Linked DNA regions of Danio rerio. The protein of the gene in region 4 purifies or fractionates together with the protein of the main gene of each other region. This does not show direct contact. Links are inferred from orthologs where the notes say so. Each region holds a gene or a part of one and is shown on either strand. Other genes may lie near its edges. The genes, in order: phf5a, prpf19, u2surp and snrpa1.

The links.
Region 1: the proteins of snrpa1 (region 4) and phf5a purify together in Homo sapiens (affinity purification with mass spectrometry; 4 studies listed by BioGRID and IntAct, with this or other methods). This does not show direct contact. The link is inferred for Danio rerio from reciprocal best matches to the Homo sapiens genes SNRPA1 and PHF5A.
Region 2: the proteins of snrpa1 (region 4) and prpf19 fractionate together in Homo sapiens (co-fractionation; 3 studies listed by BioGRID). This does not show direct contact. The link is inferred for Danio rerio from reciprocal best matches to the Homo sapiens genes SNRPA1 and PRPF19.
Region 3: the proteins of snrpa1 (region 4) and u2surp purify together in Homo sapiens (affinity purification with mass spectrometry; 5 studies listed by BioGRID and IntAct, with this or other methods). This does not show direct contact. The link is inferred for Danio rerio from reciprocal best matches to the Homo sapiens genes SNRPA1 and U2SURP.

Annotation. Positions count from the first base shown.
Region 1 is NC_133187.1:20,791,612-20,795,928, reverse strand, and holds the start of phf5a (PHD finger-like domain-containing protein 5A), read right to left. Parts: upstream 2,833-4,317; 5' UTR 2,771-2,832; coding exon 2,719-2,770; intron 1,921-2,718; coding exon 1,897-1,920; intron 1,390-1,896; coding exon 1,223-1,389; intron 1-1,222.
Region 2 is NC_133189.1:18,668,880-18,672,449, forward strand, and holds part of prpf19 (pre-mRNA-processing factor 19), read left to right. Parts: intron 1-893; coding exon 894-969; intron 970-1,561; coding exon 1,562-1,671; intron 1,672-1,758; coding exon 1,759-1,914; intron 1,915-3,006; coding exon 3,007-3,076; intron 3,077-3,493; coding exon 3,494-3,570. UniProt on the Homo sapiens protein: Ubiquitin-protein ligase which is a core component of several complexes mainly involved pre-mRNA splicing and DNA repair. Required for pre-mRNA splicing as component of the spliceosome.
Region 3 is NC_133177.1:29,971,830-29,975,399, reverse strand, and holds part of u2surp (U2 snRNP-associated SURP motif-containing protein), read left to right. Parts: intron 1-1,763; coding exon 1,764-1,868; intron 1,869-3,570.
Region 4 is NC_133182.1:9,121,776-9,125,837, forward strand, and holds the start of snrpa1 (U2 small nuclear ribonucleoprotein A'), read left to right. Parts: upstream 1-1,245; 5' UTR 1,246-1,382; coding exon 1,383-1,464; intron 1,465-1,967; coding exon 1,968-2,115; intron 2,116-4,062. UniProt on the Homo sapiens protein: Involved in pre-mRNA splicing as component of the spliceosome. Associated with sn-RNP U2, where it contributes to the binding of stem loop IV of U2 snRNA.

The DNA.
Region 1 (4,317 bases), on a different chromosome or scaffold from region 4:
ATGTGTTTTGGGCAGTAAAGCGTACACAGATCTGCACTTGACAAACTTTTGGGAGTACTCATTTTAGCATATTATGATTTGGGATACACCAATTCAATTTTTAATACTGATTAGGATGGTTAAATGCTAATTGAGATGCATCATGTTTTTTTTCTATAGCCACACATAAGCAGTATTCCACTGTAATTGTATTTTTAAAGGATTGAGATTCCAAGCTTTTGTTTAGTGCGTCCTTAAATTACTACTGAATTGCAGTAGAGATTTAATAATAAACATTTATTAACAAGAGTAGCTATATGCCTGACAAATAAGATGTCTAAATAGTTTAGTAATTTACTTGCTCATTAAAATTGATCTAAAAACTTAAATCTTAAATTGTGTTAAACAATGCCACACTTAATTTTGTAACTGAATTTATTTTTTTTAACAAATTTTGAAAATACAATCATTAAGCCATTATATGTGTATTGTATATAAATCAAATTATAAATATAATTTTAGAAATATAATTGATTTAGTAATTAAATACATAATTCATCAAAAAATACCCTTTGTACTTTTATTTTAAGGTTTGCAAATCCAATTAGATCCACTTGTTTAGTAAACAAAGCAAATTTCTCATAGCATACATCCACTAAACGACAGAAACTATTAATTTACTATCTGCATTGTACATAAATCATAAACATTTGCATATTTGTCAATAATATTATTGAAATAATATATATTTAAAACACATTTACACAAGTAAATAGTTAAATAAATAGACTCAATTATAGGCTAAAAATTGTGTAAGCCTAACTGCTTACTATTGTTTAATAATGCAGAGTTAATCCTTAAATGATGAATGAATTAACTATTTTCTAATGCTTATTATATGATTCATAGTGTGCAGTTATTATATAAGTCATTATTAATATTATATTACACTGTTATCGATGTATTTCCGAAAAAATAAACAATGTATGTTTTGGATTGGGATCGTAACTCCTATAATTGTAATCGGATGCTGAAGACCTTAAAGTTCCCCACCTCTAATCATTTGGATTTTTGAACTGAGAATTCAACCTTTTAATAAGTAACATAACACAATGCAAACATCTAAAACCACATAATGAAGTTTGAAGTTTACTCAAACTACTGACGAATGGAATATTTATTCCAGCCCTCTCTCAGTTTAGTCAAAAACTAATTTGGGCAAATGTAGAGCAGATATACTCACGTCTTTCTCCTGTATGGTGCACTCTTTGCAGTAATAGGCATCAGACACTCCAGGACCTCCACAGATCACGCAGCGTCCTTGGTAAGAGCCATAGTTGCATTCATCGCAAATACGAACCAGTGTGCAAGGTCTGACATAAGAGTCGCAGATCACACATTTGCCATCACCTGGAAAAGAAAATACACATTTGTGTTAAAGAGCATAAAATCATAACAGTATGACCCCCTCAAAACAATAATTCTGTCATCCTTTTTTGATCTCTTTACATTGTTATAGGAATAGTTCAGCCAAAAATGAAAAATTACTCACTATTTACTTGCCTCTTTTCTTCTGTTGAACACTAAAGGAGATATTTTAAACAAAGATGAAAACTGAAACTATTTACTTTAAAAGTAGAAAAACAAATACTATGGAAGTCAATGGTTACAGATTTCTTCAAAATATCTAATATGTTTGAAAAAAAAAAAAAATTCAAACAAAATTTGCTTTTTGAAATAAGCAAAGGCTGAGTAAATGATGACAGAATTTTCATTTTTGGGTGAACTATCCCTTTAATGAAGCGGATAAACTCTGTGATATCACTCGCTGTGTTACAAAGATTAACAAATTCCTTGTGGGTTTAAAACAATAAATTACTGATAACTGTTCATGAAAAGAAAATTAGTAAAACTTACATTTTTCGCAAAGTCTTCCAATGGCTGCAAAAGAAATAAAGGTCAAATCAGGTTAAACAGACGTATAATTGATGAACTCGTGCATATTTAAACCGTAAAAGTTGCAAAACAAATGACGTAAAGGTAATATTGAGACTTTATAAATACCAAGGAAAGAAACTGCTAAATAATCTTTCAGTACTTCAATTCAGGCTGTAAATGTAAAGTCTGACACTAACATGCAAATAACTGTATACATTTTATGTTGGTCCTCGGTATTTTGTCATGTTGTCCAGTGAAAGACAACTGTTTTTTGTTCAATCCACTTTGTTAACTTCAGCGATATGAGATGGGACAACATGGATTGTGTGAAACCCTGCATTTGTTTTAATTGTATTTCCCAACACGCTACGAAAACATAGTTTGACCTAAACAGAAAACTTCAAAGCTTTGTAACCACTTGATGGTCAGTAAAGTGAAGTTTTATCTCTTTCTCTTTATAAGTATCTGAAAGCCTGCATGACAATTCCGCCCTCCAACGACTGAGGACGCTGTAAACAAACGACAAAAGCACGTTTGCATGGGCTCGCACAAACACTTAAACGTCGTTATTTTTCCAATCAAATATCTGACTAACTAGCATCGTATACGAGGACTTTGTAAGGCTGCTATTTTATCTGCTTACTAAAGTTACACGATTAAATGAACCGTCTCCACTTAGATTGAAACCTTATTGTTCATCCATCTGATGTAGCGCGAGTGTAAATTCTCACTCATTGTTTGCTACAAGTTGGATCATTAAACAAAGAAATTATTTAAGGTCTAATGAAAAACGAGACTTACCAACTCCAGCCTGTTTTCTGCAAAAGATCAAATCTGGGTGATGTTTTGCCATTATAAAAGAGTGAGCGCAGAGAACAAGCTAGCAAGCGTCGACGCAGCGCTGACCTCCGAACTTCCTTCTTCGGATATTTTGGTCTAAAAGATGCGCAGCAACCTACTGCCACCTAATGCAAAGAGCTTACAATCACCAGATTCAGTCAGATTCTATGCTCTTTGCCTAATGTTTATAGACTGATAACCGGAGGAGCTGCTGATTTCAAGTATAAATATAAATATAAAATACAATAACGCTAATATTTATTAACGGATTACAATTTTATGATGTAAAAAAACTCCAGTTACGTAGGAGTCAGAAAGCTCAAATGTGTCATTTTATGGTATAAACAGAGATGTAAATAAATGTGTCTCTTTTATCAAAAATAGTGCTGGAATTCTCATTTTTCTTACAGTTTTTTGAGTGAACAAAAACAGTTTATAAAAAGTAATGAATATTATGACATTTATATAGGAGCACAAAGTCTATACAGTAATGTAGAATAAATAATAGATTATATCTAAAACTATTCAATAATAATAGTAGCATGTGTGTGCTAGGTATAATCATAACTATAATTTGAGTAAGAATAATATTATTAAACCATGGAGGGAAGATTGTTTCAACACATTTCTAAACAGAATAGTTTTAATAACTCATTTCTGAAAACTGATTTATTTTATCTTTGCAATGATGACAGTAAATAATATTTTACTAGATATTTTTCGAGACACTTCTATACAGCTTAAAGTAACATTTAAAGGCTTAACTAGGTTAATTAGGTTAACTATGCAGGTTAGAGTAATTAGGTAAGTTATTGTATAGTGATGGTTTGTTCTGTAGACTATTGAAAAATATATATTTATAATTTATTTATAATGTATAATTTATAATTATTTATATTTTTTATAAAAATCTTATAATTTTGTCCCAAAATGTTTTTAAAAAAATTAAAATTAGCTTTTATTCCAGCCGAAATAAAACAAATAAGACTTACTCCAGAAGAAAAAATATTATCAGTAACATACTGTGAAAATGTCCTTGCTCTGTTAAACATCATTTGGGAAATATTTAAAAAAGTAAAAAAAAAAATCAAAAGGGGGCTAATAATTCTGACTTCAACTGTGTGTGTGTGTGTGTATGTAAATCTATGTCTCTCTCTCTCTCTCTCTCTCTCTCTCTCTCTCTCTCTCTCTCTCTCTCTATATATATATATATATATATATATATATATATATATTTGTGTGTGTGTGTGTGTGCGTGTGTGTGTTTCTATATTGTTCATGTGTTGTATGTTTACTTGCTTCTTTTCGGATTTAATACAATAATGAACTGAAATATTCTTTCAGTAGTAAATTCTGAGTCAATTTTATATCATTAAACAGTCCAAAAAATTTAGTCAAAATAGACTCTTCCATTCCAAGAAAACGTTTTGTATTTAAAATAAGGCGATCAATAAATAATTTATCTATGAATATTTTATTCCTAATGTCTGCAAGATTTATTTTTTATCTCTCTCTCTCTCTCTCTCTCTCTCTCTGTGTGTGTGTGTGTGTGTGTGTGTT
Region 2 (3,570 bases), on a different chromosome or scaffold from region 4:
ATTCAAAATTCTCTCTTTCCATATGTCCTGGTAAAAAAAAATTGCCAAGTAAGCATAAAATTGTTCTAGAAATCCTGTTTTGATCAAATTCTGTGACAGCATCTTTGAAGGCACAGCTATTGGGAAGAAAATGACGTCTGAATCACATTGTGTAAATATCGACTTATATCTTAATCTTAATTGTAAAATCTTAATAAAACTAATACACACTTTTATAGTTATTACCATGTCATATTGTTAGCTGAGAAGCATGCTAACTTTAAACTCTGTTGAATTTAAACTTTTAAAAAAAAATTATTCTCTGTTTAGAAATTAAGATAAAAATCAACAATTTCCACCTCAAAGTTTGACAAATGGAGTTTCTGTCTTAGGCTTGGGCTGGTATAAGATTCTGATGGTATGATAACCTTCACAGTATTATGATTACTCCTCTAAATTGTATTTTTTTAATATCTGGGTAAAAAACTAAAACTTTTCCCCCCTTTGAACACAATATATTTTATGTAAAGAAAGATTTAAAATATTCTGGAACAGTAAACATGTCAGGCTAAGTAATTCAAATAAATCATTGACTTCAGATGTCTTTATTTAGTTTAAAAACACAGATTTCTTTACGATTTAAAATGGGATCTTTGGATCTTTTCTGCTAGAGATACTGTTGTCTTAAAAAAAATGTTACATATACCAAAGGAATGGTATAGCAGAAATTTTTAGCTGGTTTTAAAACTAAAGACTTTTCCAAACTGTGGTATACCTGTGGTAAAACCATTATCCTCCCATGCCTATTCTATGTAAAGTGTTGTGAGTTAGTCTTTCCTTTGATTTAGTTTAGATCGCTGTACAATTTTATTTGAAACATTACATCAAATCAGTTGTTTTGCTCTTTTCAACAGGGTCTTCACAGTGCCAGTGTACCAGGAATCCTCTCTCTGGATCTCTGCCCAACAGACACCAACAAAGTCCTCACCGGTATAATTTCCATTAGTAGTTTGTCAGATGAGTGTTTTGAATGTGTCCTGATTCTTAGAATTTTGTGATGTTACTTACTATTTTGATGAACTGTGTATAATATATCCTTTGTAAGTCCCCCTTTTGGGATGTTACATAAAATGCTGGTAGAAAGCACTTGTGTTGTCACGATACTGAATTGCAGGACCAATTGGTACAGAAATTTTAAAAATGTCCATTTCCCCGCAAACATTTGAGCTCTGTTGAGCATGTACTTAACAACACTCAAATGTTAGTTGGAAATTGAGGTTTTAAACATGTCAGCATCATAACAACACTAGAAAGCACACATTTATGTTTCCAAACCATAAGCATCCCCTAACACAATTCTTGCATGTGTCATCTGCACCCTCTTGGTCACAAATGATTGATCATGCAAGGAAAAATACTGTTGCCCTTTTTTGTTTCTTTTTTTGCAGCTCCTTCCTTTTTGTTGGATTAATTGTGACTGTTTTGCTGAAGTAGAAATAACTAATCTAAAATTAAGATGTAAACAAGGAGAGCTACCACATGGTTCTCTCAAATTAAAACCTCAGTTTGCTACGCTTTCCAGGTGGTGCGGATAAGAACGTGGTGGTGTTTGACCGTCGTGAGGAGCAGATTGTTGCCACCCTCAAAGGACACACCAAAAAGGTCTCATCTGTCATCTACCACCCTGCTCAGGTATGCCATTGCTCTTGTTTTGAATATATAAAATGGTTCCTGGTTTGTATTTAGCTCTCATGTCTCTCCTCTTGTGCTCTTTGTCAGGCGGTGGTGTTCTCAGCATCTTCAGACAGCACTATTAGAGTGTGGTCCGTTACTGGAGGCAACTGTGTGCAAGTGGTCAGGGCCCATGAGTCTGCTGTTACTGGCCTCTCTCTGCACGCTACTGGGGACTATTTACTGAGCTCATCTGAGGACCAGGTAACACACACACACACAATTGTTTTTGTGAATTAAGGGGACATTTTATAGGTTTCCCTTATTTTTACACTGCGCAAACTGTATTTTCTATCACCCTACTCCAACCCTATACCTAAACCTTTTTTTGTAATGTCACTAAATTTAAATGGTCTATTCCAGATGTTGAAGTTATATATTTCTTGTGTGATGCAAGTTGTTTGAAATTTTACTTTCTATTTATATAAAAAAATGCTATGTTTTTTTTATAGCATTGTTTCTCATATTGCAGGTAATACAGAGCAAAAAATTTACTTTTTTGACTTTGTTTTTTTTTTTAAATGTAGTTGCTTTAACTGAGATGCGTGTCAGATGATGTGTTTTGTTGGCATAGCCACTAACCGCCCTGGCATGCCATGAGCTAGTGAAATAAATTGAGTTCATAGCACATTGCTTTCCACATCCATTGTGAAAGCCACTTCACACCTTTCAAATGAGAATCAGCAAACGATGGCCACTTTCTCTTAGAGTGTAAGAAGTTTGTGCAGTGTATGTAGTGTTTTTGATGCGGCCTCTGTGTGTACATTTCCATAGTTACACTTTTCAAGGTTACATTATTTAAACCTCTACATGCATTATTTACTAAAATCTTAAAAAAATTTAAAATAACAGAATTTTGTCTTTGCCATAATTCTTGTCTTGTTTGTTTTTGTTGGCCACAAGTGCTGACGCTTTTGAAGATTTGGGCCAATTTAAGACTATATTTGAGGGAAATATGATTTTAAAGACAATTAAGAAAATTTTTGTAGCTTTGCAATAAAATGTGAATCAAGCATAATTTACAACATTAGCAGTATGCTACACTTACTGGATAAAAGCATTGTCAAAGACTACTTTAGCAGAAACAACCATTTGTCAAATCATGATTTTTTAAAAATTGACATTTTATTTAAAAATAAATAAAATTTCCCCAGAACGAGTGGAAACTGTTGTTGTGGTTTTCCGTTTCACTTCCCATGTAAAAAGAACATGCTTTGTTATTTTTATGGAAGGGAAGTCTCTGTGTAGTTACATTTTTATTCTGTGTAGTTACATTTTTAAATGTTTGTTTTGTAGTACTGGGCCTTCTCCGATATCCAAACTGGACGTGTCCTGACCAAAGTCACTGATGAGACTGCTGGATGTGGTATGTTTTATTATTTTAGCTGCACTGTGTCAGATTTTGAATAAGTGTTTTTTGAATGCTATTTTTATAAGTGTGGAAACTGAAACAAGCTCTCTTTTAGAATTTGTCAAGTTAGGATAAAAATGAAATGTAATGATTTACTTCAAAATATTTCACTCAACATATTTAATACAGGCATTTTGTACATGATTATAAGCCATGTTACAAAAAAAAAAAAGATAGTATTTTTAGGGTAATGACTTCATAAAGTATAAGGAAAAACATTAAAAATTTGATAATAAAATCTTAAAATGTAAAAAAAAAAAAATTCAGTTTGGTACAAAACAGCCAAAAGGACAGCTATGGCCAAGTAGTACTGGTAGGTCTAGTGTTAATTTGTCTCTTCATTTAAAAAGCATTTCTGCCTCATTCTTTCAGCTTTAACCTGTGCACAGTTCCATCCTGATGGTCTGATTTTCGGCACTGGTACGGGCGATTCTCAGATTAAGATCTGG
Region 3 (3,570 bases), on a different chromosome or scaffold from region 4:
GGGCTAGATTTAAAAAAAAAAGCCTGGTTTATACTCTACGCATCGGTTAGTTTGCTTAAATGCGTATGGTGACTTGAGTGAACAGTTCGCGTGGCGCTGCTATTATTTTGAGTTTAATATAAATCGCTTTGAAGAGATTTTGTCTGAAACAGGTACACCTGTACAGACATCTTTATTATCCATCCATGCCTGATAATAGGGGTAACCAGATGGCCAATTGAACCTATCGGTTTATAATATACTGATGTTCTATTTTTGGGGCTTTGTTTTTAATGGTCAGGAATGTTGGGCCATTATTGGCTTTTAGCATGTAAGTAGAGGACACAACCTAGCCAGACAGTAATGTGTGAATTGTGGAGTGGGCTAAATCTAAAAAACCCTCAGTATTTTTTTAGTAAGTATGCTTTTTTTGCTTTTATTATTGCCATAATAAAAAAGCAACCTATGTTATGTTGTTTATTATTTTAATAAACTTAAATTGGTAGAAATTTTGAACGGTTATAAAAATCTTTATAATCATTAAAATGATTGATAAAAAATAGTTAAAGAAGTTGAATTATATTAAAAATATGACATAGTTCAGGAAACTTATTACTCTTCTATTCATCTGTCTGGTTTTTCGGAGGGTTTCCTTGCCTCTGTCATTTTAAAAAATATCTCATCAGCGAATGCGTTAAGTATAAAAGCCTCATCCGTTTTGTGAGGTGCACGCTCATTCAGTGGAGAATCTCAACGCCAGGCGAAAGTATAAGTCAGCCTTAAGACTTCTTATTTGAAAAGATTTTATTTTAAATCAATGCTGGTATTAGTTTTCATGAAGATTTTAAGATTACACAATAGTTTTCTGCTTTGATTAGGTGAAATGTTACATAAACTTTTGAGGTTTTATTTTTCTATAGTACCAAATTCTACTTTTACAAGGAATTATTTTAGATGTCAATGTTACAGCATGCTTTACAGATTGTTCCACACTAGTTTCCAAGAGAGTTTTTATTGACCACACTACATCAGATCTGATGCATTACACCACTCCTAACGTAGAAGCTAAACACTACACAATCATCTAGTGTCAGTTACACAAAATCCAGTCCTCTGGCTATTGCTCACTTCAGCTGCCCTAGTAGCAGGGCACAAAAGCGACGCCTGATCCCCATAGTCTAAGTGACCTTTGACATTGGCCTTGGTGAGCAGCACAAGTTGAACTGTCTGCAGCAGCGAGGGACCAGAAAAGCGTCACAGGATGGATTGGGGAAAGTATACAGAATGATTGCCTGACATTGGTATGATCGGCTCCAATACTTGTGATCTGTGTTTCAGTACATTTTGAAAAACATCATCTGTTGATTTTTATCGGCCACTTCACGAGCCAGTCAGGAAGCCAGTTGTTGTCCCCATCCCTTAACTAGAAGAGCTTACATGATTTTGTCCCTTTCCATTCACACTTGTCTATTGTGAAAAAAAGCAAGAAAGTTCACTTAACACTCGGCCTCACAGTTAGTAGCACAATCAGTTTTAACTTATGAGGGCAGAATGCTATGGCTGAGACTCACATGTGTGTGTATATAGAGAGGATTTAAATGATTTGATTGTTACAAGCTGTCATAACTGGCAGTCAGTTTTAAATCTTAAAAGCTCAAACATCTTTATGGCTCATAGTAAGTGCAAGAATGTTGCATTTCATCAAATGTCATATATAGTAGTGGTTTAGGTGTGGCTGGTGATGGCGCTGAATCTGTTTCGCTTTAACTGTGTTTTTCTCGTAGGAATTTGCTCTCTCTCATCCACCGAATGATCGAGTTTGTGGTGCGTGAGGGCCCTATGTTTGAAGCTATGATCATGAACAGAGAAATCAACAATCCACTCTACAGGTGAGCCTGATTTGAGTGATTCTGGAGGGAATGACATGTCAGAAGAGAGTTAGCATCAAAAAATCACAGCAAAAATTGGACTGTGGTCTGTGCCACTGTTTCTACATGATTGATCTAATCTTGTGGTCTGGATCTTCCATTTGTCAAAGAATCAAACATGACCTTCCTTCACTAAACCTCTAAAATAAAACACCAGAAATGTCATTTTAATCCCCAAATTCATTTTGCATGAAGAAATCACAAACTGTTTGTGTGAATAAAAACTGTGAATAAGATTTTCCCTCATTAATGTGCAGTATTTCATCACTATTTAATCAGTGGGCACCTTTCATTATTTAAAGTAAAGTAGTTTATATTTTCGATTGTTAAATGTACCTGCATATTCATGCAAAGGTTTTAGCAAGACAGTATTCATAAAGGTCAAAACAGCAGATTATTTGTGTGTGCTGGAGTGTGGTGGTGTATAAATGGTTTTATATCTGGTTGGTCAAAATTGACCCTTAAGATTATCTTTGTATCCTACTTTGAAGTCTGTATGTAAAGCCTTCATGAAAATATTAAAATAGCTCTTTTTCCCCCCCCCCCCATTTAATTATGGGTAGACCTGTCACAATGATCAATATATCGACTTATCGCACAACACATGGGCATGACCTCAATCATTTTTGGTGATTTCAACATTTGCAATATAAAAAACTATTCTAGCAACATTTTAGCTGCACAGCCTCTCTATCTCAACAGTGTCAGTATGGATAAAGAAATCACTGTAGTATTTTATTTAATATAAATGACTATATTATATTTTCGTGTGGGTGTCCCACAAGTGAAAATAGATATGGTAGCAGATCTCACAGCCTGTTACTTTCTACCTTGCGCTTTTATTTTATTAACTTTTTTTTAGTTTAGGATATTACGATTGCACATTCTGATGCCAGTGCCTCATAATTGTTAAAACGACAATATGGTATATGCCGAAGCATGCTAATAGGACTTTTAATTTGCCAGTAACCTGGGTTAATCGTTTCCGGTGAATTGTATGCCAATGCAGACTCGGCACATTTAAGGTTTATTTTCTTTAAAAATCAGTGACAAATATCAAATCACTGGCTGAGGGATATCAGATATAAAGTGGGTCTCAGATTGTACAAGAAGCACTGCATTAAATTACATTTTTCCCACCAGAACTTTATAATATGAGCATTTATTTTACCCCATTAATTTTAATGGAGCTTCTGCATTAGCCTGCCGATTCTGACGGGCATGTGCGAGTAAACGGCTTTTTGCCTTGTTTTATGCTTGAGAAACCAAATGAATGCCGAAGTCTGTTTAACGGATTATATTTGAATTACGTTACAACATTGATGCTGTAAAAGAAACCGTATAAAATGGAAAAAAAAAAACTTACAATAACAGGTCACCAGAGGTTTATCAGTATGGGAAACACACTAGCTCGGCATATACCCCATAATGAAATGAAATATTCTTGAAAATAAAATATTATGTATTCTTTGAAAGAGTGTACTTGCTTTATGATGCTATTATATTGGTATTCTGGCATTTTATAATCAGTGGCTTTAAATGGTCTTAAAATGACAATAATGTTTATCGCAATCTTATCATACAATAAAAAATAAATATCGTGACAGGCCTAATGTTGGGGTCATTTTAATATATATTTTTAAACTAACGAAATCAACCCTAA
Region 4 (4,062 bases):
CCGCCAGTCCTACGCCACCCAACCCGCTCTGAGCTGGTATTGAGCCGGCGACTTTCCACATGGGAGTCGGTTGCTCTAACAAAGTGGCTAAAGGCCATGGCCCCTAGCGGCCATTGCTAGAGCACCTTTAGTGGTCAGAGGAGTGAGGTTTACCTGCACAGCACTAGCTGGCCTCCGTTACACAAACAGCATGCTAGCTCATACTAGAAACATGCTAGCAATCTGCTATTTTATAATATACATGGAAACATGTTAGTTAACATGCTTCATACTAAATTATGCTATAACATGCTTATTTATAAAAACATGCTAATAAGCTAAGTTTATCTATCTATCTATCTATCTATCTATCTATCTATCTATCTGTCTGTCTGTCTGTCTATCTGTCTTTCTGTCTGTCTGTCTCTCTGTCTGTCTGTCTGTCTATCTGTCTATCTGTCTATCTGTTTGTATATCTATCTATCTATCTATCTATCTATCTATCTATCTATCTATCTATCTATCTATCTATCTGTCTATCTGTCTATCTATCTATCTATCTATCTATCTATCTATCTATCTATCTATCTATCTATCTATCTATCTATCTATCTGTCTGTCTGTCTGTCTGTCTGTCTGTCTGTCTGTCTGTCTCTCTCTGTCTGTCTGTCTGTCTGTCTATCTGTCTGTATATCTGTCTGTCTGTCTATCTATCTATCTATCTATCTATCTATCTATCTATCTATCTATCTATCTATCTATCTATCTATCTATCTATCTATCTATCTATCTATCTATCTATCTGTCTGTCTGTCTGTCTGTCTGTCTGTCTGTCTGTCTGTCTGTCTGTCTGTCTGTCTGTCTGTCTATCTCTATCTATCTATCTATCTATCTATCTATCTATCTATCTATCTATCTATCTATCTATCTATCTATCTATCTGTCTGTCTGTCTGTCTGTCTGTCTGTCTGTCTGTCTGTCTATCTATCTATCTATCTATCTATCTATCTATCTATCTATCTATCTATCTATCTATCTATCTGTCTGTCTATTTATCAAAACATATGGTATTATTTGCTTAAATCCTTGTGCTTTATGAAAATACAACGATTTTTAAAAAGGTAACATATGCAAAATCTTGGCGGGACGGCTTTATTTTTCAATCCACACTTCCTCCTCCGTCCCGGTAGGCGGCGGAAATCGCTTCTCCAGTCCGCCTGGTGTCGCTGTAACCGCTCAACAAGCGCGGTGTTTTGTTTTTTGTCTCGAGAAGAACTAAACAGATACTTCCGTTTGGCGGCAGCGTGTACGAATGTTACACGTTCACAATAAACTTTTGACCAAACACAGTTTTCTCCGCTTAGACTAGTTTCTCTTGTTTTTCTTTGGTCTCTGCGGCGGACATGGTGAAGCTGACGGCGGAGTTGATCGAGCAGGCGGCGCAGTACACGAACCCTGTGCGGGACAGAGAGCTGGATCTGCGCGGTGAGTTAAAACACAACATTATCACAAAACAAATGCAGTCTGAGGGGTATAGTTGTGCTAATTATAGCTGCATAACATTAATAAAAGTCTAAACGTGCGATATATTGATTCATATAACCTAATATATAATATGTCCTAATAATTCTGGAGGGCTGACTTCAAATGGATAACTGTGTGTGTGTGTGTGTGTGTGTGTATGTATATATATATATATATATATATGTATATATATCTATCTATATATATATATATATATATATATATATATATATATGGTTACACTCTCAGTAATGATTAAATCACACTGAACTGAGCTAAATTGAACTGAACTGAACTTAAACACTAAAAACTGAACTACACTGTTCCAGTTACTATGACCATGTATGTGAAGCTGCTTTGACACAATCTACATTGTAAAAGCGCTATACAAACAAAGCTGAATTGAATTGAACTATATGGTTAAACTTTGAAGTGAATATAAATCTCATTTGTCTGTTTTGCAGGCTATAAAATCCCTGTGCTAGAGAATCTGGGCGCCACTCTGGATCAGTTTGATACCATCGATCTGTCGGATAATGAGGTCAGAAAACTGGATGGGTTTCCGCTGCTGAAGAGACTCAAAACGCTGCTGGTGAACAACAACAGAATCTGGTGAGAGAAGCAGACTGATGTGTTCATATATTGTCTGGTATAAAACAATACCACGCTACTCTGCAGTGAGTATTTCTTGTGAACTGTTACGTGTTTATGATGTTAAATAATAAAAGGGATGATACGTAACAATCAGTGAGTCTATTGATGCTGGGTGAATGAGGAGAAGACGCATATGCTTGATAAGTGAAACAAAAAAGTATTTATTAATGGATAATTTCAAACAATGAATGTAAGATAGAAGATAAATGTAATTTTTAAATAATTGAATCAACTAAAGAAAAATAGGAGTGTTGCCAAAACAAAGAAATAAATATAACAAAATAAACTAACTAAACCCCAACCCACTAAACTGACTGAACAAAGAAAAATGTAGAAACAAAACCGTAATCTTCAGCACGTAGCTTAACTAAACTTCTTAACTTCCGTACACATGTGGCAACGCCTCCAAAAACTAACTAATACAAAATTTTACTAAGCTGCTCGAAATGCTATTATTCTCGTAAAGTACACACTGTTAGCCATTAGCAAAACAAGATCTCAGGTAATCCAATTCTCATACAGATTGTTCAAAATCTCACTAAACATTCACAAGAGCAGCACAAGTTTAACTGATAAATCAGGATAAACGGAGAAAACTAGAAAATAGCACTCGCAAACAAATCAAGCGGATCAATCAAACAAACAGTCCGGCCGACACAAGTGAGGAGATTGGCAGGCCAAGCGCTCCTCCAGAACAGCGCAAGCGCACCGGTTTTATACTGCACGTGACGAAGGTGAATGACAGCTCACCCGACCAATGGTAGCACACCTGAAACAGGATAGGACCACAACGAGAGAGAGAGAGAGAGAGAGAGGAGCGCAGAGCAGAAAGCAACAAAAATACTACAAAACATACGTGAAACGTAACATGAACACACATTAAAGAGGCACATTAGCTTACTCTTTGATATTGCACACCGTTAATTCACCTTTACACTGTGTCGTAACAACACTTAGAAAATAATAGTTATAAAGTAATACTTTATTCACTTTCCATCAGCTTAGTCCTTTATTTATTAGCAGTCGCCACAACGAAATGAACCGCCAACTATTCCAGCATATGTTTTGCGCAGCGGATGCCCTTCCTGCTGCAACCCAGTACTTGGAAATACCCATACACACTCCTACACTATGGCCAGTTTAGTTTATTCAATTCACCAATAGCGCATGTGTTTGGACTGTGGGGGAAACTGGAGCACCCGGAGGAAACCCACGCAAACGTAGAGAGAACATGCCAATTGGCCCAGCCGGGACTGTGACCAGTGGCTTTCTACCTGTGAGGTGACTGTGCTAACCATTGAGCCACTGTGCCACCTCATAGAGTATTAATAGTTATTAAATAATAATAATATGTATAATTAAATTAATAATAGAAAAGAGTTTCTGTTTCTGCAACCTTGTGGCAAAACAACATAAACTACTGTGACAATGATCACCTCAGGTAAAGATTGTGTTGGCTGCGTTTATCAGCACTATTTTTTCCATTTTCTGAAAGTCTTGATAAGACAGTCATTGGGTGTTTTAATATTTAATGAAATAGTAGGGTTGCAACAACGAATCGATAAAAATCGATTTCTAAAAGCGTTGGCAACGAACTTCATAATCGATTTGTTATGTCGTAATGACACAGGGATTTTGATTATTAAAACCAGTGAATTTACGTGCTGAATCCTGCATGTTCTACTTTTGAGGCAAACGCTCGGCCGCAAGTAAACATGGCTACACCAATCTCACGTTACAGATCACGATCACTTACACGTTTATGTAAATTGGAATATCAGGTAGTTGAGGACATGATGAGCAAGCGTGTGAATATGTTGAATTAAAATGGAAAAATACTAAATAAAAGGGAATACATCTGTCATACGGCACTATTGTGGCTGAGGTGTGTCACATGACGAACAT